Mus musculus: one gene and its partner. The protein of the gene in region 1 interacts with the protein of each later gene in a biochemical or structural test. Links are inferred from orthologs where the notes say so. Each region holds a gene or a part of one and is shown in the gene's direction. Other genes may lie near its edges.

Region 1 (12,263 bases):
GTGACGAGCCCACTCACTACATGGCCAGGGAACAAAAAAGTGACAGGGACAGAGTTCCATAGTGCCCTTCAAATTCACATCTCTGACAAAAAGAGCATCCAGCAGAGTCCAGCTCTTCTCCTAACCCCACCCCAATCCAGGGCCTTGCACATGCCAGACATGCAGTGCCATTGAACTGTAGCCTCAACCTAAGCCCACCTCAACATGTCTCAAGAGTGCCACTGTGCTGCTGAAAATTCAGGGTCTAAACCATATAACAGTACTGCCACCAAGAACTGAAGCCAGCTGCCGCTGGAACTGGCCAGGGAAAGACAGGGAGCCGTCTGAGGTGCTCTGAGTACAGGCTGTGTTCACTCTCCTGATCTTGGGCCCCTGGCCTTCTGTGCTGGGGAAGAAATTTCTAAACCTAAGCCCATCCTTCCTTTTGTCCTTTTTGCCAGCCCCAAAGATGCCTTCCGAGCAGTGAAGAAGCGAATTATGGGGAATAAGAATTTCCATGAGGTCATGCTGGCCCTTACGGTGAATATCCTGCTGCCTCTCTCATCTGTCCATCTCTCCATGATCTCTTCCATGGCTGGACCGTGGTCTGCTGAAAGCTGCTTCTCCTTAGTTAGGTCCAGCAGGATTCCCATCCATGCTTGGGTTTCTCACCTGAAGACTCAGAAGAAAGTGACCATGGGCAAATTGTTTTCCTGTTCACACTGTTGGTGAAGGTGGATGACAAAGCAAGGGAGCTAGAAAGGAAATTTCCAGCCTTAACATGGGGAGTAGATACACTGGGGCCACTTTCCTCTAAAACTGCACCCTAAAAAATGAACGTAAAACAAATGCCTGTGTCTAAGAACAGTGTTGACCTCAGTACTAAGACAGGCCAGCATGGGCCAAGCATCAGACATCCTGTCTTCAGAGCAACATGGCTGGAAAATAGGCAGGAGAACACCCTATCCCAGCCTCTACACGGTAGTGCCTAGATCCAGATGGCCCTGCGACCCTGCAAAGCACAAGCAGCTTCTGCTAGGCCTTGGGAAGAGGTCAGTGCTTGGTCCCTGGGTCATGATGTTACCAACCTAAGTTGTATCTGCTTCCTCCTGAATCTCTAAGCTTCCATACCAGTGTTTCGAAATGTATGGGTCACAACCCCTTTGGGGGTCAAATGACTTTTACCAGGGTCACATATCAGATATCCTGCATATCAGATGTTTACATTAAGATTCATTAAGATAACAGTAGCTCCGGGCGTGGTGTCACAGGCCTTTAATCCCAGCACTCGGGAGGCAGAGGCAGGCGGATTTCTGAGTTTGAGGCTAGCCTGGTCTACAAAGTGAGATCCAGGACAGCCAGGGCTACACAGAGAAACCCTGTCTCAAAAAAACAAAAAAAAAATAAAATAAAATAAAACAAAACAAAACAAAAATAACAGTAGCAAAATTACAGTTATGAAGTAGCAACAAAAATAATTTTATGGTTGAGGGGTCACCACCACATGAGGAACTATGTCAAAAGGTCAAAGCATTAAGAAGATAGAGAACCACTGCTCTAGACGATGTGAACTAGAAACCAGGGTTAGGTTATAGGCACTGGCCTAGTAGGAAGGGAGTCTTGTCTGTCCTGTCATGTCCCAGTCCCCTAGGAGGCAAGCCTCCAAATCCATCACCGTTTCCATTCTTATGTCCTAGGGGCTCCCTTCTGGAAGCCTCCTGTCTTCTGCTGGGCTTCCCTTCCCTGATGGGGCATTCTCTTGGGCACCTTGACCTACAGGTCTTGGAAACATGTGTTAAGAACTGTGGGCACCGCTTCCATGTACTGGTGGCCAACCAGGACTTTGTAGAGAATGTGCTGGTGAGGACCATCCTGCCGAAGAACAATCCACCCACCATTGTGCATGACAAGGTGTTGAACCTCATCCAGGTGTGCTCTTTGGCAGGGTAGGGTGTATCGGTGGCCTCAAGGGGTGGGGGAATTCTGGGGCTATTCTACTCTGCTAGTGAGCTGCTTACGTGTGCAGCAGGACTTATCACTGTGTGCTGAGCCTGGTACACGGGGTTAGAGGACCAGGCAACAGGAGGAAGAGGAGGAAAGCACTCTGTCCTCTGTCTAGGTGCCAGGGTCGGGCAGGCTCACAGAAAAGAAGGTGAGCAGTGGTTACAGGCAATGTCCCCTTGTCCCCTCTCAGTCCTGGGCTGACGCGTTCCGCAGCTCACCTGATTTGACAGGTGTTGTTGCTGTCTACGAGGACCTGCGAAGGAAGGGCCTAGAATTTCCCATGACTGACCTGGACATGCTGTCGCCCATCCACACACCCCAGAGAGTAAGGAGAATTTTGGGTGAGATGAGAATTATCCTGAGGGGGCTACAGTGCCTTTCCAGGAAGCCTCACTCACCCTGTCTTTTGCCCCTTAGACTGTATTCAACTCAGAGACACCATCCAGACAGAACTCTGTGAGTTCCAACACCAGTCAGCGTGGAGACCTGAGCCAGCATGCCACCCCTCTGCCCACTCCAGCTGTTCTCCCGGGTGACTCACCCATCACACCGACTCCTGAGCAGGTAAACAGACAAGCCTGTGGCAGAACCAGAAGATCCAGGGAGGTGTCAGAGATGGCCCCTAGCATTGTGGAAACTCCTTTGTCTTCTCAGCAGCCCATAGATGTGTACTGTTCATCCTATGGTCCGGATAAGGCTCAGACAGGCAAATCCACCAACTCAGAATCACACAGCTCATCAGAATCTACTGAGATTCAAGTTCCAGTCTCTCTGACTTCTAGAATGCAGTTCAATACTACTGTCATTTTCCAAAGTCTTCCCTCCATGGAGCCCTTTGTGGAGCACTGTGGGGAGGAAATGGCCAACAGGCAGGTGTTCCCTTCCACTTGGGCCTCTCCACTTTATCTATGTGCTAGTAGGCTCACATAGAGTTTCATCTGAATTGAGATTCAAGTTGAAGACAACCATAAAAGATCTGTATGCTTGCTGGGGTTGGTGGCATGCCTCTAATCCCAGCACTTGAGAGACAGAGGTAAGTGGATGTGTGTGAGTTCAGAGCCTCTGATCTACATGGAGACTTTCAGGCTAGCTAGGGATGCATAGTGAAACTCTTGTCATAGAAAGAAGGTGGGTGAGGAAGAGAGATCTGCATCTTCACAAAATGAGAAATTTTATTTGTACTCCACTGAGGCCTCCCACAATTCCTCATGAGGAAGCTTAGAAGCTTAGCTTGAGATTCTGGGGAAGTTTCTCTAGCCTATGGCTAGCTCTAGAGTATTACCAACTTCAGACCAGGTGGCTGTAATCTAGATTATTGGTCATTTGAGGTGTGGTACTGAGCTGGGCTTGAGGCCTTCTCAGACCTTAGACCATCACCAGTGAAGTATAAAGACTTAGCTGGAAGTAAAGATTCACAAACATGATACAAATGAGAAACACTTAATTCCCAAGAACTGTTCCCTGACCACTTGTGTATAGTGCATGGTCTCAGCCCAACAAAGAGAAGCTTGGTGCTGTCTTATACCACGTTATGAAACTGTACCACCACAAACATGACGAGAGCAGGCTGGCTCTCTGAGCATGTAAAGTCTACAAAATTGTAAAATTACTCTAAAATCCAAAACAAGTATCTATCTTGTTTCTGATTTTAACTAGTTTTTCTAAAGTCTGTATATTAAGACTAATTAGTGCTAGAAGGTTCTTACTAAGTAAAACTGAGTATTCTTGTTTGATTTCATAGCCCCTTTGGCCTCTTGGGCGTGTTAGGATGCTGTGGTGTGGTGATGTAATTCCTAGGCTCCTTTGTGGTTAGATCCCTTTGGGTTTGGATGGCAAGCTGGTGATGAGCAGCTTGTTCACTCACACCAGGAGTTATTAAACAAGCCGTTGTGCCTGGCACTGTGGGGTGTGCTCTTGGTCAGCTTCAATGGGCATGGATGGTGCTTGTCCCTGCGTGCCTGTTTCTTCATCCCTGAGCTCCATAAAGTTAGCCCACCTGTGATGGCGCATGTTCAGTGCTTGGCGCTTATTAACTAGTCAGGAAATGGGAGCTGCTGTCACAGTCATGAATTTAAATTCTGAAGTTTATTGTCACTCAATCACACAATTTAGAATATACCAGTATTTCCCCAAATGTAGTCTCCTAGCCACTAGATTTATGAGCCATCCCATTATAAGAGGATTCTTCAGCCAGGTACATCTGGGGGGTGGGGGTAGGGAGCAGTGCTTCATCTGCTTCTCAGTATTCAAAGTGAACACAGTGTCCTCCGAGTTCATAAAAGACACTGCAGAGTGGCCCTCACACCTCATCTGTTTGAGGACACTGACCACCATCATTGTGAACCTTGGCTCTTTTCGATCACTGGTACTAATTCACATGGGTATCAGGCCTTGCGCTTACTTTTGGATAAACCTGGGCCCTAAAGAATCTGAAGGTAAAGACACAGACAAAACCTACTCTGTCCTCCCAGGCATAAGGGGACTCTGCAACCTGCCTTCCTAATCCTTAGGAGAACCATCCCTAGGGCCTCATTAATTGCCATCTTGGCCCCAAGAGATGCTGGCACTCTTCCAACCACCCTCACTGGCTATTCCCCTCCGATTGTCACACGACTTTCAACTTGCCTCTGTTCCTGGCTCCTGGTTGGGAGATGGCAGCGGTTGGTAGCACCTCTGTGAGGGGCTGTGAAGTGGGAGGAAGCTTCTGCAGGCTCTTGATCCGCAGGAGTCAGGAGGGAAGCTGTGTGGAGAAAGTGTTGGCTGAATAGTGCCTGGGCCACACGACTGGAGGAGGCATGGGCTCTAGACTCTGGCTTTTCTCCCCCTTACAATGGTGCATTTCAGATTGGGAAGCTGCGCAGTGAGCTGGAGATGGTGAGCGGAAACGTGCGAGTGATGTCAGAGATGCTGACAGAGCTGGTGCCCACCCAGGTAGAGCCTGCAGACCTGGAGCTACTACAGGTGAGCAAACAGCCTGCCTCCAGGTTCAGCCCCCACCAAAGTGACCCTGTGTGCAGCCACACCTGTTTCCTCCCTGTCTACATTGCAGTCCTTTGTTTTTGCTGGGAGCTCTCAGGCAATAGAAAACATTACAACCAGGAACCTGGGATTTGCATCAGACAGGAATTCACATCTTAATTCTGCTGCTTTATGACTTGAACAAAACCACCCCTCGTTTTCTCCATCTGTGTGGCTGCTTTGATACAAGCAGGACATGAGAGTTAAAGGAGATAGTACATGTGAAGCATCTACTCCTCCGCCCAGTACTGGTGAGCACAGACAACACTGGGAAAAGCCAGAAGGGCCGATTCCCACCCGTCACAGTGTTGGCGGTGGCAAACAGGAGGGAAAAAGCAGTGTGGGCTTTGAGAGGAGTGACCATCCATCCAGTCTTGGGGAGCTGAGGCCAGTGGGAAATGCTGGATTTTGCTCCTGGGTGTCATATGATAGTCACCTGATCCTGTCTTCATATGGAGTGGGGCGCAGGACTGAGGGGGGTTTAGGCAGCCTTCCTGTAGGGGACACTGAGGAAGGCAGTGAGAAAGTCAGGAACTGACAAAGCCAGAGTCTCCAGAATGTGTAGAAGGACAGAATGCTCTGTGTGCAGAATGCTCTGTGTGCTGTCTGTATCGCCCTCCCACCAACCCTCAGAGAGCAGTTTTGAAGCCAGGTCTTTATGCCCCTGTGACTGCTCAGAGATCCTTATATTTGGGGGTGGGGGAATAAAGTAGGAGTATCTTAGCTGAGTGGACTCTTTGAGTGTGAGAACTAGATGAAGAAAGGAGGTTGACTAAGAGTTGTTATAGTGTTATATGTCCCAAGCCAAGTCCATGCAGATATGAGTAGTCTGGGATACTCAGAAGGCTGGAGCCAGCTGTCAAGGTGACACAGAGTCAGTGCCCACATAATGAGTACTCTTTGTATCAAGCTCAATGTAGGTGCTTGATATACATTCATTCATAGCCTAAACAAACCCATTCTCCAGATCAGGAAACTAAGGCAAAGAGACTGTAACATGCCTGTGGTTACTGTGGCTGGTAGGTAGCAAATCCAGGGTTTGTGACTTGTAGCAACGACTTCAGTCTAGGCTCTTCTTGTGTCCAGAGGGACCGATGAGGAAGCAGAAACTAATGTCAGTTATACTTCATCATAGGAGGAAGAGAAGGGGAGGCCAGAGATGTTGAAAGACTCCCTGTGCAGATGAAGAAACCCCAGGAGGCCTGGGTGGGGTGGGTGGGGAACAAGGTCCATGAAAAGACAGAGCTTGGTGAAGTGCCTCATCTTTGATGCTACAAGAGAAAGTGTGCTGGCATATCCATGGCAGGTGCTGGAGAAAAGGTGACCAGTCTCCCTACAGTTGCCTGTAGACCAAAGGAGGTTTATTTTACTTACTTATTTTTTAGTAAAGGTCTCATGATGCAGCCAAGCCTGGTCCTGCACATTCTCCATCCCCCTGTCTCAGTCCCTGACTATACGGGTCACAGATTCATAGCATAACACCCAACCTCTTAATCTTTTTCTTTTTTCCAAAACAAGTTTAACTGTGATTAAAACCCAATCAGTAACATGGTGCCTAAATACATGTAGGATCTAGAAACAGGAAACAAAAAGATATTAGCAGGAAACGTAGTTTAGTTGATTTCAGTGTTGATGCCTTGGTTTTGACAAATGTCAAACTGGGTAAAGGCACATGAGAACCTTGGTGCCATATTGCAGCTCTTCAATAAATCTGAAAGATTGTTCCAAAATAAGTTTTACTAAAAGAGAAAAAAGCCAATCCATGAGAAAAGTGGGGCAAAAGCTTGTGTGAAGTAACAGAGAAGTTAAACGTGTTCACACCCGACCCCATCCTCAGGTCCGTCATCCTCCTCACCCTCCTCACTCTTCTGTTTTCCCCTTAGGTGTGCATCTGTGACTGTGGTGTGTGTGTGAGTGAGACATGGCAATACTACAGCTTGCTATCGAAGTAAGAGATCAGCCTTAGGGAGCCAGCTCTCTCCTTCAACTCTGTTTGAGGCAGTGTCTCTCCTGTTTGTGCTACTTACCACATGGGCCAGACTGGCTGGTCCAGGAGGCTGAGGTTTTTCTAAGTAAGCAAACGTGGTGGCTAAAACTTGACTCTGCAGTCTGCACACAGTCCTGTTAAAGCAGCACAGTCATTATCAGGACTCAGTCCGGTACTTTACATGTTATTGTGAAGCCTAACACTTCCAGCTACTCCAGAAGTTGTGGGTCACCTGAGGCCAAGCCTAGGGGACAGTGAGAGCCCATCTCACAACTCAAAGACTGTAACCACACTGCAGCACCTGAGCAGTGATCTTGAGAACAGGCTTGTGGAGCCATGAAGACCCCTCTTCCAGGACTGTTGATGAGGAGTAGCCTTGTCCTTCGTGTGGCCTCAATGTCTCGCTCCTCCCCGTAGGAACTGAACCGCACCTGCCGTGCCATGCAGCAGCGGATCCTGGAGCTTATCCCACGCATCTCCAATGAGCAGCTGACGGAGGAGCTGCTCATGATCAACGACAACCTCAACAACGTGTTTCTGCGCCATGAACGGTAGTCCTGCCACACCTTCACCTGGGCCGTGGCCTCGGCTACTCAGTCATTTTCCCTGTGCCCTTTTCAGACATCAGCAAGCTACCAGAGCCCCCAGCTCTCTCCCCGTCACTGAGCTGCTTGGGTAGTGGGTAGTCATAAAAGCAGGAAGCAAAGTGCTCTGCTCTAGAAATGGTTATTATCTAGCCACCTCCCACTCCTTGTGTCTATTGTGTGTTCCCCACTTGCTGTGTGGTTTGCAGTCAGTCGAGAGGGGCTGGGCCCCTGAGGGCAACAGTTGGCCAGTTTTTCCTGTTCACTAGCCCAAGAGGATGCACATCCTCTCCTCCTTGCCATCTTGTTTTGTTTGTTTGTTTGTTTTGTTTTGTTTTGTTTTGTTTTGTTTTGTTTTTGAGACAGGGTTTCTCTGTGTAGCCCTGACTGTCCAGGTACTCACTTTGTAGACCAGGCTGGCCTCGAACTCAGAAATCCACCTGCCTCTGCCTCCCAAGTGCTGGGATTAAAGGGGTGCGCCACCACCGCCCCGCTCCTTCTTTGCCATCTTGAGGTGCACTGTGTGGTAGTCCCCCAGTTCTCTAGCATCAGGCCCCTAATTTACCAGTTTGTTCTGGTGCCAGCCAACTGCTACTCAGTGCCTCAACTCAGTCATCACCTCAGCTAGCAGGCAGGTGCCCAGAGACATTAGAACAGAAAATGAATTCAAAAGTGATGTCCTTTATACCAGGCCAGAACTCCAACAGGCTGGTCACTAAGGTCTTCTCCACCTACCTCCCTAGCCCCTGGCCCCTAAGTAGTCAGGGTTAGAGACAAGTGGCCATCTTTGAGAGCCAACCATACATTCTCAAATGTAGAGTAAGTAACTAGACAGTTGACAAAGCAGTGCTCAACTCTGCTTGCTGAGTGTCCCTTTCTTTTGTGTTCCTGTGACCTTGTTTCTTGCTGACCATTGCAAAGTGTTCCTATGAGTGATCAAATGCCTCCCAGCCCTGTGCAAGCGAAACAGGGGCTCTGCTAGTGATAGCATGAGAACAGCGAGCATGCGCTGCATCTGTGAGGGTAGACCAGTTATCTCCTCATCCTGGTAATGATCTGGGGTCCTCTGGGAACTGTGTCCATCTGTTCTTTTTGACTGGGGTATTTTCTGTCTTGTAGGTTTGAACGCTTCCGAACAGGCCAGACTGCTAAGGTAAGAGGCAACTCTTGTGGGACTGTGTCATGCTTTATTGATAGAAGTGAGAGGGAAGTTCTCACCGTCTCCCTGATGCCTTCCTTGTAAAGGATACTGGTGCTTCTTTTTAGGCTCATAGGGAAGTCTCTGACTTCTTACACCACTATCCCTTTAAGGGAAATAAGGCTCTGCCACCACCAGTTTGTACCTCAGGGCCTTCCCAGCCTCCCAGGGGTGTAGCTGAGCTGGAGCCCAGGTGGAGGAGAAAGTCCCCAGCTCCCATTCAGACATGTTGGGGCCTGGAGGCAGATCTCTGCATCCTGAAAGGTTCATCCAGGCATCTCCCCTCACCTCAGGCCTCCAGTGAAGCTGAGCTAGCTACTGACCTGATTGACATGGGTCCTGACCCCGCAGCCACAAACAACCTCTCATCTCAACTGGCAGGAATGAGTAAGTATGCTGGGGACTCCAGCCAAGGGTATGTTTCAATGTGTGGGTAGCTTCAAAGTTCCTGTGCTCGCCAACAGCAGAGCATTGGTCCACATCTTACTTTGCTGGGATCCCAAGCCAAATCTTGCTACAGGATTGGGCAAAACTTGTGAGAATGCCCTGGGAGTACCAATGTCCCTGAGCCCCTTGGATAATATAAATCCCACTGCACTCTAACCATCCCTCTGCCCTGCCTCCCCATCCCCTCCATCCACCCCACCTGAACATCCTGGGGACCATCAGACAATCGACTGCTCAGCCTCAGTAATCACTTCCTACTTGAAGAAGGAAAGAAGGAATGGGCCCCTCTTCAAGGTTGGAAGAATAGAGCAAGAAACTGCCAGAAAGCGGCTTCTATCAGGGCGAGGCCAGAAGGCGCTCCGTTCCGGTGACACTGCAGGATAGAACTCGGGACCTTGGCCATGCTAGACAATATTTTTGCCACTGAGTTAAACTCCAGCTTGGTTTCCTTTGGTGCTTTGTTCTGGGGAAAAAAAAATAGATAATTTAGGTTTGATTTGATTTTGCTGGCTTTTGATCCAGGTTGTTGCTAAGTGCTCAGTAGCCTGTCTAGGTAGGCCTCAAACTTTCTCCATCCTCCTGCCTCAGTCTCCCAAAACCTGAGATTACAGGTGGGTATACCTGTAATATTAGCAGTCATTATCTTTTTTGTTGTTCCTGGGCTGCTACTGCTGCTGCTGTTGTTGTTGTTGTTTATTTTGGGTGTTTTGTTTTGTGCTGGGGATTAAGCCTCAAGCTAAACAAGTGCTTTACCACTGAACTATATTCCAACCCTTTAATTTTGAGATAGGGCCTCACAAATTTCCCCAAACTGTCCTTGAATGTGCTTAGTAACCTAGGCTATTCTCAGTCTCCCCTGGAGCTGGGCTTACAGGCTGGCACCACAAGGTCTGCTTACAATTGAGTTTAATATTATTGACTGCCTGCTCCACGCCAAACCCCAGAAATGCATTCTGCTCCCACATGTGTGAGCAGTCGGATCTGAGCACTGTTCTGCTGCTCAGCCTCTTCCATTAGCTCAGTGGTTCTCAACCTTCCTAATGCTTTAACACGGTTCCTCATGCTATGGTGACCCCCAACCATAAAGTTATTTTCATTGATAATTCATAACTGTAATTATGCTACTGTTATGAATTATAATGTAAATGTCTGATATGCAACCCTGTGAAAGGGTCATTCGATCCACGGGTTGAGAACCACTGCTCTAGCAGGTGATACAGGCAGGGATTTCCTGTTTTCTAATCCTCACCACAGCGGGAGGAGGCGGCTGTGGTACCACTTTAGAAGTGAGCACACTCAGCAGAAATGAAGGGCTTCCTACTGCTCTCGGGCAGTAGTCGGCTTCCCATCCAAATCCCTCCACCTCACCCCTAATGCTCTTCAAGCAAGCAGCCCTAGTCCCAGATGGAACATGGGAAGAGCAAATGGAACAGCAGGCCTCTTGCCTGGCCCTTCTGTCTCTGCAGACCTTGGCTCCAGAAGTGTGAGAGCTGGCCTGCAGTCTCTGGAGACCTCAGGTCACCTGGAAGATGACTTTGACATGTTTGCTCTGACTCGGGGCAGCTCACTGGCTGACCAACGGAAAGGGTGAGTTACCTGTTCCATCCTGCTCTCCTGAGGGGGAGGGCTCTCTGTTGACAAGAGCATCTCTTGAGATCCCTGAATCTGGAATGGAAATGGGCAGGGCAGGAGAAAAGACGCACAGTCCCTAAGTTCAGTCCAGCATGGCCTGGATAACACTGTGGTTCAGGGACAGGAAGGGATACCAACATCTGACCAGAACCAGAAGCAAACCTCTGAGGGATTGGAAGGTTGGGAGCCTCTGACCACTTCTACGTAACATTTTGTCTGGCTGGCCCACCATCTTCCATAATGTGCAGCCAGTACCAAGCCCCCAGGGGCAAGGAAGGCTCCTAAGAAAGCCTTAGTGACTTCTAGGTTTTGACTATTGTCTCATAACCATCCTTCATCCCTAGAGAAGACTCCGGCTGCACTGGGGTAAAGCCTTCCCTGTGAGCTGTCCATTTTCAGAGAGCTGTTGTCATCAGTCAGACCCTGTAATGGAGCAGGCCTCCAAAGGCACTCCCTGCTCTGGCAGATCTCATACTAGCTCCTCATGTGCTCGTCAAGGAAATAGCTTAGCTGATATTTTTCATCCCTTTGCTTGTAACCCTGTTGGCTCAGCTATGTGGAAGCTATGGTTCTTACAGCCAAGGAAAGTTCTAGATTAAAAAAGCCTCCTAGCTGTTCCCACTTAGTGTCTTAGTGCCTATTCTTTCTTTGACAACTTGGTTATTGGACAGTAGAAACTGGCCAGAGAGGATTTAGGCCAGACTGGGGTTTAGGAAGCATTTCAGGTTCTAGGAACAGGAATGTGAAGGCTTGGAGGCAAGGCAGATGAGCTGAGCTCTAGCCCTTCACAGGCACATGTCTGTGTATAGGAGCAGATGCTGAGAAGATCACACAACAGTTCTTCCCTTTGACTGGTGTAACTTCCCTGAGCCCCCTTAGGCCTTTGGTTTTCCTCACACTACAGATTCAGGTACAATCTGACGCAGTCTGCAGCCAGCCAGTTCCACACTAAGCTGTAAACCAGGTTTGTCTTTTCCCTCAGCAGTCTGTACTCCCCAGCCCAGAGGCCTCTGGCCTAGCAGCTTACGATAGCCATGGTATTAAGGATGCTGCTGAGGCTGCTGTGCAGATGAAAGCTAATGAGTCTAGTGGGACCCACACTCAGGAGGATGGAGTGTCCACATAGGCACCAGTGTACAAAACAACTAGGCACACTGGAGAGTCCCGAGTGTTTAACAGGTCTGACAGCATGGCTGGGGTACACTGCTTCACCACCATACCTCCACAGGGAAGGCACACATGCAGTGGTTCTTTTTTTTTCTTTTTTTTTTTTTTTTTTGGTTTTTCGAGACAGGGTTTCTCTGTGTAGCCCTGGCTGTCCTAGAACTCAACTCTGTAGAGTATGCTGGCCTCAAACTCATAAATCCTCCTGCCTCTGCCTCCCAAGTGCTGGGATTAAAGGCGTGTGCCACCA
Region 2 (10,954 bases), on another chromosome or scaffold:
GCCCAAGTTGTCTAGCTGAAGGGAGGCAGTCTGCGGGAGTGTTGGTACAGATGAAACCAGAGGCCAGGAATACTACATTCTTGCTGAGGACTCCATGTCTTGGGTGTTAATGTCTGGGCTGAGGCTAGGACCACTCCTCTGATACCAGAAGTAACAAGATTGACATATGGTGTGGTCCTCCTTGACTGACATGTTTTTCTTTGTTGTGTTTCAGTCCCTCCCAGCTGCCATGATGATGCCTCCTCAGCCTGTGGTCCTGATGCCAACTGTGTACCAGCAGGGTGTTGGCTATGTGCCCATTGCAGGTGTGTACTGCTTCTTTGGTAGGCAGTCCTGGGACAAAGTAGGACAGGAGGAGGGAAGGGCCTGTGAAGCTTGAGTAGTGTAGAATTGTGTAAGCATGGCTGCTTTAAATGAGGATCCTTCTAAAACTTATTCCAGTGTCATATCTGAATTATTTATGCATACATAGGCAATAGTGTTTGCCCTAATTATTGCCACAAGTAAGGTGAGTTGAAATTTTTGGAGTTGTAGAAACATTGTCATTTTTATGAATGAGTTACTGGAATAAGACAACCTGGTTCCTGTTAGACAACACTCACCCTGAGCACCTACATCTTAAAAGAAAATCATGGCTTTCATTGAAAGTATTTACCCATATAAATTAATAGCTGCTTGGGTCATAAAGTCAAGATGTGGCTTTTATGTATTTTTTTAAATTTCTAATCTTCCTGTGGCTTTCACAGTGCCTGGTATCCAACTCGTCCTCCTACCAGAATAGGGCAAGCCAGATGAGCAGATGAGATCACACAGCTCCTTTCTTGGCTTCAGCCAACAGGAAAAACTGTGGCTCTGAGAGTAGACATCAGGGCAGGCCTGTAGTCTCCCTAGTCTCTTGCTAGGGTCCAGGGAACTGTAGTCCAAGCAGACCATGCTAGTTCTGCTATCCCAATGGGAATGGCCAGTCTATAGGGCAGGAGGGAATATGAGATCCTGGATGGGACTTGGCCTGCATGGTCCCTGCTAGCAGGTGCTCAGGGTGAGTGTTGCCTTGTATCTAAGACAGCACAAAGCTGCTATGGCTCAGTGGTGTGGGGTCTGAGGGTCCCACACAGCCAGAATGGAGTGACTCATTAGCCTTTATTAGACTCAGCCTCTATGCCAGCTGAGCTAGGGAACATGGTGCAGGACTTGGGAATGAAATCCACCCACACATATCCTGAAAACAGGCCTGACAGACAGAACTTGGGCCTTCTACCTATGACAAATCATCCTGCAGGAACAAAGGGCAGCACTTTGCAAAGGGAAGGGAGGGTAAGTTCACAGGCTTCTAGGCCCCTGTAGTATTTGGAATGGAGTAGGTTTGCAGTAGAGGGCAAACCAGTCAAGTGGGGAGTGACCCAGGGCCTTAGAGAAACCTTAAAGCAGTGTGGTTGTTCCCCAAGAGCCTTAGAAATCTGGAGAGTGGAGTTTTAGGATGTGTGCTTTCTAGAGTCCCCAATACAAGGTCCTGACCTGTCCAGTTCAATGATCGGATCCTGAGGTATGAGGGTTGGGTTCCCAGAGTGGCTCCCAGGTTCCTTTTTGAACTGCAGTCCCATCAGTCTGTGTATGGAATTTGTGGAGGTCTGTGGAGGGAGAAGCAAGCGGAGTGAAATGAGCACAAAGGGTACCCCAGTGTAGCAGAGGCACTGGGGTCACAGATGGAACAATGCAGCAGAAGTCTCTTCCCTCAGTTTCTCAGGCCAGGAGTCAAACGGGCTGCAATCCTTTCTGAAGCTCCAGAGAGGGAACTTCTAACCTTTTCCAGATCTTGATGTGACTTGGTTTCTGGCCATATCTCCCTGGTCCGTCTTCATATTCTTGGAGTCACCACGCACTTTTTGTGTTTCTGTCCTGTAAGGTCACTGGACAGGGGCTTTTCTGCTCCTTCATGGTCTTATCCAAACAAGGTTGCCCTCTTTCTAAGTAAAGTCAATCTAGAGGCACTGGGGCGGGGGTGGGGTGGGGTGGGGGTGGTTTGCGGCAGACTTGAGCATATCTTTGGGTGGTGGTAGAGGGTGTTGAGGTGGGGAGCAACAAAGACAAATTTCTGTCCAGTTACAAACAGAAGAACTACTTCTAAACAAAAGATAAAAGCTGTTGACTAGTTTACTTTCTTGGCTCCTGTCCTTCATTCTCTGTAATGCCTCTAGAGTGTATTTTAGGGAAGGCTCCTCTATAAATAGGCTTTGATCCTCACTTTTGATGTACATTTTGAAAGTTAGAAATAGTTTCCTACTGATAGAAAAGCTGCCACAGAAATAAAAGGATATTTTTCCCTTGGAGACCAGCCTTGATGTCTGCTCTGTCCCCATGCAAGCATGCTTCCTGGAAGTGAGGACACTTCACAAGGGGACGTGCTGCGGACCACAGGGCTGGTGGTCTGGGTCTTCCCAGAACTTGTAACAGGCTCTGCCTGCAGTTATTTGTGCTGCCCTGTTCACTATCTGGCCAGGAGAACCCAGATGCTGCTTAGAAAGCTGTTCTCTTTCATTTCTGCTGCTCACACTGTAGTATTCGGTAAGGGGACACAGTTTGCCTTTTCATTCTCTTGAGAATCCTTTCGTATCACCTCGAGGACTGTGTTCAAGGTTACAGTTGCTGTCTGTTTTTGTCAGACTGAGCTGTCCACTGATAATTGTAGCAGTGTGGACTTGAGGATTGTTTTATTTTCTGAGCTCTTAATTTGTTACTATATTGTTTTGTCACTCAGTGATCCCAGATTGGCCAAGCCTTTAGGCTGAATTGTGTGCTTTTTGATGTCTCACATGCTGTGTGAGCTTCCTGACTTTGGCACAGGAAGCCTCTGGCTATCTTGTACATTTCCTTCTGCCCCAGAATTAGCCACTTCTCTCTGAACCCAGGGAGAATCAGTTCTAAAAAAGTTCTTGAATGGTTTTTTGTTTTTTATTTATCTTAATCATTGGGGGCATTAATAAGCATGTTACTTTGTTGAAACTTAATGCCCAGCTTTGGTTCTTATAATTCCTGTATGTTTATGATGGCAGAGCTGTCCTAGCAGAATACTTGGGGTATCCTGTGCAGAGACGATTAGGGTATGCCATCCGGTCGATGTGATGTGTCCACAGAAGCAGGAGCAGCAGTTCATTCAGGGCATTTTTATTCCTGTTGCTCTCAGGTTTCTCAGGAGTGAGGTCAAGTCACGTGGTGTTTCTTGCTTCATATCAGCTTCTGCTGCAGTTTGCTCTCTTGGGAAGATTCATACCCTTGACTATTCACAGTGTGACGTATGTGTACACAGACCATGCATGAAACAGGACTACACTCAAGCACAGTTAGACAGGAATGAGGAGACTCACACGTTAGCCTATTCTCACTGCCTGTTGGTCTACCCAGGGAACAATGCATAGCTAGTGGGTGCCTGCTGCTTTATAGACCCTGTTGTCTATGTCTGAGGTTTTGAATTGGAGATCACAGCTGCTGCTTTGCAGAGCTGAAGCTGAAGGTGGAGGATCAAGGGTTACCTGTGTGTTTATGAGTCCATTAGTTTGAGAGCTTGGAAATGTCCTGTAATATGCAGCCTGTCCCTGAGCTCCCTAGTCAGCATGGGTAGCCCCAGAAGTTTTTAGCTGTTGGTGTCAGTTCTGGGTTGTTGCAGCAAGGCCGTTTAGGACCCAGGCTGTCTGTACTGCCATGCTAAGCACCAGTTTTTCTTGAATGGAAAGCTCCTTTGCTTTTTTTTTCTGAGTGGCATCCTATTGGTGAAAAGGCTCTTGTTTTACTGACCTGTGTCTGCGTACTGTCTATAATGTGTGCATTGTAGCTAAGTGCCCTGCTATTGGGAATGAATTGGTCCTACTCTATCAGTTTGTGTCCATTTATGACAAGGCGTCAAAGGGTTATGCCATTGACTATGATTTGCTTCATGCTCTAGCAGAGGCATGATTTTGCCAGCAATAGATAGTTTCTTGTGTAGTGTTTACAACTCTGGAGACATTTCAAAAGGTATATAAGTGCTAGAGCCCCGAGAGGCAGGGTGGGTTGTTGTTTGTTGTTGTTTGTGTTTGGTTGTGGTTTGTATGTGCAAAGAAGAAACAAGAAGTAGTTAGATATGCTAATGGCAAAGATCAAACTTGCCCCAAGGATCTTGATGCCCCTAATCAGCATGAAGTAGTCTAATGATAAGCCCTCCCTCCTTTCTATCCTGTTTTTCTGTCCTATCTAGTGTTAGGAGTTCAAAAGGATGGAGAAAGGTAGAAGAAAGAAGAACCCACAAAGTAACAAATGCCAGCTACACCACTATCTGGTGACAACTTGTAAGGTGACAGACTGACGACAGCCTGTCTAGGTCAGTCAGGACAGAGACATGAAGGTGATGGCCTGGCCCAGAGGGTACTTAGGAAACCTGCCTCTGTTTCTCAATTTGTACCTCTTCATCTATCACAAGGTGCAGGGAGCCATGTAGCATCAGTGCTAAGCCCTTTGCCAGCAGCCTTTTTTGCTCTCATGGCAAAAGGATTAGCTCCCGTGCCCCACTGGGGGCCTTGGTACCTCAGGCTGCTGGAAAGTGATGTACTTTCTGATATGTATTGTCTTCATTGTGAAAGGCTAATATGCAGCTTTTCTTGAAGTTTTCAGGGAGTACTTTATGTAGCTATACCTTGCCATATGCATGACTATTGTAATGCCTTTGTTAGGCTGTGAAGGTGAATTCTAGAATCTTGACACAAGTGGACTTTGGAGTATTGGGTAAAACAAGCATACTAGTTTGTTGTCTGCATTCTCAGTAAAGACTCATGTCCGTGATGAGTCTCCTAAGTTCTTGAAGTAGCACATGTGGTTACCAAATTTTCATCTTGCTCCCTGTAATTTTTGACTAGATATATTCAACTTGAATTTTTGTTCAGAAAGAAAATACCTCAGGAGAGGGAGCCTCAGTAGTGAGGAGGATGGCCCATCCCATCTGTCATGGGCATCCCTGTGGGATCTGTTTTCCAGTCAGATTAAGGTAGCCTTTTCCCTTGAGGCCAGTGAGATGTATTATTTCTTCCTTTGGCACTGCAGCTTTGTGATCCCACTGTCTCTGTCCTGGAACTCACTCTGTAGACCAGGCTGGCCTTGAATTTAGAGACTCTCCTGTTGCCTTACAAGTACTGGGATTAAAGTCAGGCACCACAACACCTGGCTGAACCCACTCTTTTTAACCAACCTCAACTTTTGTTTTCAGGGATGCCTGCTGTCTGCAGCCCTGGCATGGTGCCGATGGCCATGCCCCCACCAGCTGTGGCTCCTCAGCCCCGCTGTAATGAAGAGGACCTCAAAGCTATCCAGGACATGTTTCCCAACATGGACAGGGAAGTAATCCGTTCTGTGCTTGAAGCCCAGAGAGGGAACAAAGATGCTGCCATCAATTCCTTGCTGCAAATGGGTGAAGAGTCCTAGACCCGCCTGTGGCCCTTGGCTTCACACCACTGACCCTTGGACTTGTCCACCCAGGGCTCCCCAGGGTCACCATCCCCACAAGATTCCAATGAAAGACCATCCACATACCCCTTCCTTGGACATCTGCGCCGCCCCTTCCTACATATTTCGGGGATGCATGTGGATTTTTGGTTCTAAGCAGGCAGTCCTCTTCATTGTTGCTGGGGGACAGAGTTAGGGGACAGTTCTCTCCTAGTCTCTAGCTGGGTGATGGTGGCATGGCCCTGTTATTGCACAGATCAGTGGTCCTGTTTGGGGACCTGCATCTCCTGTCCTCACCCTATTCTGGAAAGCATTCTTACAGAAAGCAACTGCCTCTGCCAAGATACTAGAAATTGTACAGCATCCTTCTGAGTTGATGGATGGATGGCATGGAGTTACTCAGTCCAGCTGGGATGGTTGTTGAGGGTGCACTGAGTTCATGTGCACTTACTTACAGGTTATTTTTAGAACTTTCAAGCTAAAAGCTCCTTCCCTCTTCTGATGTTGTATGTGAACATGGGCCCCTCAGCTAGTCCTGGCCAGTGAGATATGCTTCCCAGCCATATCCAGTGGGTCTCTAACCTCCTGTCTAGCTTATCTGCCACTGTCTGGCTAGGCTTCAGCCACAGAAATCCAACTTGAATACAGAAGGTATCCAGACCTGGTGCTTGGTTGGCCAGGCCCCACATTAGCCCTCACTGCTGGAGGCTGCTTTCCACATCCTCTTGTTTAGTACCAGCATCATGGGTCTTACTCCAGGGGCTGTTCTTGTTGATAGACCTTCATCACAGAGCCCAGAGTCAAGCGAAGGAGATGGGTGGGTGTGGCACTATGTGCTTACTACTAAAATTCAAGCATTGTGACACTACTGACCTGCAGTATACTCTGTGGACCCATACTGTAGCTTGGCTTGAGTGATAAAAATTCATGCTTAAATTAAACTTTCATAAAGGTAGAGGTGCCTGTACCTGACCAGTGGATATTGTATAGTGTATTTTAGGTTGCAAACCTTTGAGCCCGTGACCTGGCCATACATGTATTTAGGGAGAAATTGAGTGGTGCCTTGTGCTAAGATACAGACCGTGAAAGCTTTCTCAGAACCAGTACTGTCACAAGGTGCTGTTAGGAAGCTCCAGCATTGCCACAGGGTTATGGTGGGACAGTTTTGCCTTACATTGCCGTTACTTTTTGTTTTCTGAGAATCTGCACACCCGGTTTGGATATGTGATCCACCAATAAGGGCATGAAGGTGACTCCTAGCAGTTTGGACTGTTGTGAAGGACTTCAAATAAGAAAATTAGTGCTTCAGTTTTTGGTCTTTGCCTCCTAAAAACGCGGTAAAATATCCTACTTGCTGTTATCTACAGGGGTGCTTTTTGTCAAATGTATTGTTTATAAGTATTTATTTTTGTAAGCCTAAAGGCAGTATGTGGTGATGGTGAGCATGGGATGGTGGTAACAAGCACTTTTCTTTAGTTGTAGGTCTTTAAACCTTTTAACTGCAAAATGGAGAAGAAAGACCAATGTTTATTAAATAGATTCAACCACTTACTTTAACACAACCAGGCACTGGAAGCCTCCATTCTAGACTGTTGATCGGCCTTGTGCTTGGTAAGCAGATGCCCTCTTGCAGGGTGGATGAGTCAGGCAGGCAGAACCTCCTTAAGTGGTCCACTTAGTGTTACCAGCAGACTGCAGACACTGCAGAGCAGGAACCTCACTCAGTACCTGTCTCTAGGTCTCAGGTGTGGCGGCTGTGTGCATCCGCATCTGCCTTACGGAGGTATAGGTTGAACACAGGGCCACTTTGTTCTGTGAGGTTCTATAGGAAGCATCACGATTTGCTGCCAGCCCCTGAGCAGTCCCACAGCACTCAGAGGCAGCGTTCACTAACTTACGACTGCTTAAATGAGGAAGAGTGATGGTTTTAAGACAGATTTAAGACTTGAGCTGAACACAGACTCTTCCCTTTGTCATGAACATTTTATTTTTTTAATAGATTGAAGAAAGATCACATTTTATAAGGCCTGAGTGATACTCCTAGGTTTTGCTGTTTTTTTGTCTTGGAATTTCATGTCAGCGCCCATCTAGTGCAAGGAGAGAGGCAGCACTTGTCAGCGCCTGTGTAGGTACCAGGGCATCAGAGCATGGCTTGTTGGCTTCCATCCCATCCTGAATCTTGTTGAGATGAAGAGTCATCCCTAGAAGGAGCTCAGAGGCAGAGGCCACAGCCGAGTCAGACAGGCTTCTGCATGGGGACCAGGCTCTCACTGGGTGTAATTGCTGCTCTTGCCAAGTTTGAAGATTGATGTTGGTAGCAAAATTTCTCAAGGTGTTCACTGGAGCCCCCTCCCCTCGGGCCAGCTCTAGTGTAGGCATGCATCTAGGGATGGCCTGGCCTGTTTTCTTCTCTGGACATGTTGGTTGGCTGAAGTTGTAACCTGCTGCACGCTTGTGGGCTGACATGGCCAGAGGCTTTCATCTCACCATGTGAGTGATGCCTACCCGATGACAGAAGTGTTGTGCGACTGGGCTCTGCCCTCGCCCTCCCAGGCCACCCTTTACAGACACTGGTATCATCTGGTACACTGTCTGGAGGTTGGTGGGAATGGTTCTCAGAACTGTCTGTGATTATTTTGGGAATGGGGGGGTCCATGTCCATATTTTTCTTTGATTATATGATATATTTTTACTTTTCAGCCTTCTAATTTAATAAGTGGTCTATATAAAATAGAAAAATAAAGTCCTCTGAGGAAATGTTTACTATTTTTGTTCTTGAGTATTTTTTTAAACTTTTTATTAGTTCTTTGTGAGTTTCACACTGTGCACCCCAGCACCCCAATCCGAGTTATCTCCCTCTTCCCCCCCCCCCCCCAGTACCTGCCTTTCACCCTTGCAACCTCCTTCCCCAACAGAGGCGGAAAATATCTTGTTGTGGAAGCTGTAGTGTGTTCCACTGTGTTCCACAGTATATCCTTTTGTCTATGCTTCTTGCAGATGTTCATTGCAATGAGTCATTGGTCTAGTATGAGACCTCTGGCTTCTGCTACACCATCTATACTGGAGCCTCATTGGGACTCCTCTAGCCTTTCCTGTTGGTGCCCTGTGTCATGGAGATCCTGCAGCTTTGGATCTGTAGGACCAGCCCCTTCACACACTCCAGCAGTTTATCAAGCCCTAGCTCTGGGCCTGAGAAGGTACCTGAGCTGGGGACAGAGCCAGCTCTTCAGCTCTCATGCTCTTGGTTGGCTCATCCGTGTCTGCACTGTCAGGTCCAAATGTGTTGCCTGGGTGAGGCGCAGGGCCTGTTCTCCTGCTCTCTCTCCAGCCTGCTGTGGGTAGTTAGGGCGAGTGGAGAGGAAGAGACCTCTCCCTGATCCATGCCACCAAACAGGAAACAAATGGCAGGGCCACCTCTCCTATACTCATAACCCTGGGACTGAGTCACCTAAAACTCCCACCACCAGAGTCAGTTCTACTTTACTTTTTGTTTTCTAGGTGATGTTTAGGGCCTGTTTTTCCAAGTACTGCAGCTAGCTGAGGATAGGGGTGAGGGGTGAACTCTCCTGCTCTCACACCCCCAGGCTCTCCTATGATGCCCCCCCAAGGGTAGGGCCAGTTCTGCACAACCCTCAAACATCAACATGTCCCAAGGTATCAGCTCAGACCAGGGACTCCACCTGGCTTTTGATAGTAACAGACCCCTCCTGCTACTGCAGGGCCATGGAACCTGATGTGTCCATGAGTGACAGCATAGGCCAGGACTCTCCCATGATCCCAGATGGTATCACCAGTTGCTTGCATCAGGCTGTTCCTCACTACCCTTGAGTCTCCAGTTCTGCCTTTCTTTATTGTGCCTACATTCCTGTTTCTCTTCCATTTCTCTACCACTTGCTTGTTCCTCTTAGTGACACCCAAGGTTTCTGAGAGTCTGGGGTCAGCTTCCGGGTGGTTTCAGGAGTTCTATGCCCTGCCTGTGCATTATGGTACCAGACTGGTGGTCATCTCAGGCTAGCCCCCTGTCTGGGCCTAATAGTGCAATTCTAGTTGTGTTCTTAGTTCACTCCTTATCCGGGTCCACCTGTGTGGCCCTGTATAGGGGTTGTCTGTTTCAGACTCTCCTCCTGTTCCCTGTGGGCTCTGTTAGAAAAATATCCTGCTGGAGACTGTGTGGCCTGGCAGGAGGGAGCCAAAGAGTAGAAGAATCCTGTTTGGGGCCACAGCTGTAGTCAGGAGGGAGATGGGCACAGCGCTGGGCATATGTGGATGGATATTGGTCTGAAGCCTCAGGTACAAGATGATTGATGGCAGTCCTGCAGCCTTGACTCAAGAATGGGACTGTTGTCAAGCTGGGATGTTAAAAGAGTGTGGTGGTTTGAAATGCTTGGCCCAGGGAGTGGCACTATTAGGAGGTGTGACTTTGTTAGAAGTATGTCACTGTGGGGTAGGCTTGGAGACCCTCCTAGCTGCCTTGAAGTCAATCTTCTGAGTATCTTCAGATCAAGATGTAGAACTCTCAGCTCCTCCAGCACCATGTCTGCCTGGACTGCTATGTTTCCCACCTTGATGATTAATAATGGACTGAATCTCTGAACCTGAAAGCCAGCTCCGATTAAATGTTGTCTTATATAAATGAGTTGCCTTGGCCATGGTGTCTGTTCACAGCAGTAAAACCCTAACTAAGACAAAGAGTTAAGATTTTCATCCCCAGCTCCAGTTAGGAAAAAGCTGACCTGACAGAGACAAGAAGGCAAGGGATGAGCTACAGGAATTCATGATTCAGTTACTCCCTGCTGTCTTAGTTTGTGGTCCACAGTCAGGTAGTCCAGATTCTGGGGCATGCAGGAATAAAAGCATTCCTTCTGGAAAAGCAGGTGATGATGCAGGCCTACCAGCATCCAATGGCAACCACATGTAAATGCAATGAAAAGTTAAGAACACTGAGAAGTGAGCTGTCTGCTGGGACCAGCAGAAGCAGTAATGCCCCAGCCGTAATGCCCCAGAAGCCTTGCTGGGACATGTGTGCAGTTTTGTTTTGTTTTTTCTTTTAAAGGCTTTAAAAACAAGATAAAACAACATTGCAAGCAAAAATCAACAGACTGCTAAAAGCACACAATAGTGGCAAGAACTGAGTTGAATATTGAGATTGAGAGGTTAAAAACTAAGCCTTAAGATGAACTTTTTAAAAATTGGTTATTTAGTGTATTTATATTTCAAATGTTGTCCCCCTTCCTGGTTTTCCCTCTGCAAATCCTTTATCCTGTTGCCTTCCCCCTTGCTTCTATGAGGCTCAGCATGTGGGGGCAAAGTCCCCTAAGGAAGTTCCTCCCAGGTGTGAACCAGGAAAGAAAGTACAAGGGACCAGGTAGTACATGAACATATGGGGACTCAGCGACTCAGCTCTCTGTGAGGGTCCTTAGCAGGCTGTCTTGCAGTTAGCGCTCTTGGAACACATGGCTTTACTGGGGTTTATCTAGTCACTGCATGT

What was found.
Region 2: the proteins of Tom1 (region 1) and Tollip form a complex in vitro, tested with the Homo sapiens proteins (3 studies listed by BioGRID and IntAct, with this or other methods). The link is inferred for Mus musculus from reciprocal best matches to the Homo sapiens genes TOM1 and TOLLIP.

The regions. Positions count from the first base shown.
Region 1 is NC_000074.6:75,049,750-75,062,012, forward strand, and holds part of Tom1 (target of Myb protein 1), read left to right. Parts: intron 1-440; coding exon 441-519; intron 520-1,758; coding exon 1,759-1,908; intron 1,909-2,173; coding exon 2,174-2,308; intron 2,309-2,400; coding exon 2,401-2,547; intron 2,548-4,827; coding exon 4,828-4,944; intron 4,945-7,405; coding exon 7,406-7,539; intron 7,540-8,691; coding exon 8,692-8,725; intron 8,726-9,063; coding exon 9,064-9,157; intron 9,158-9,439; coding exon of another isoform or gene 9,440-9,511; intron 9,512-10,683; coding exon 10,684-10,804; intron 10,805-12,263.
Region 2 is NC_000073.6:141,878,858-141,889,811, reverse strand, and holds the end of Tollip (toll-interacting protein), read left to right. Parts: intron 1-214; coding exon 215-305; intron 306-5,230; coding exon 5,231-5,445; 3' UTR 5,446-8,232; downstream 8,233-10,954. UniProt on the Homo sapiens protein: Component of the signaling pathway of IL-1 and Toll-like receptors. Inhibits cell activation by microbial products. Recruits IRAK1 to the IL-1 receptor complex. Inhibits IRAK1 phosphorylation and kinase activity.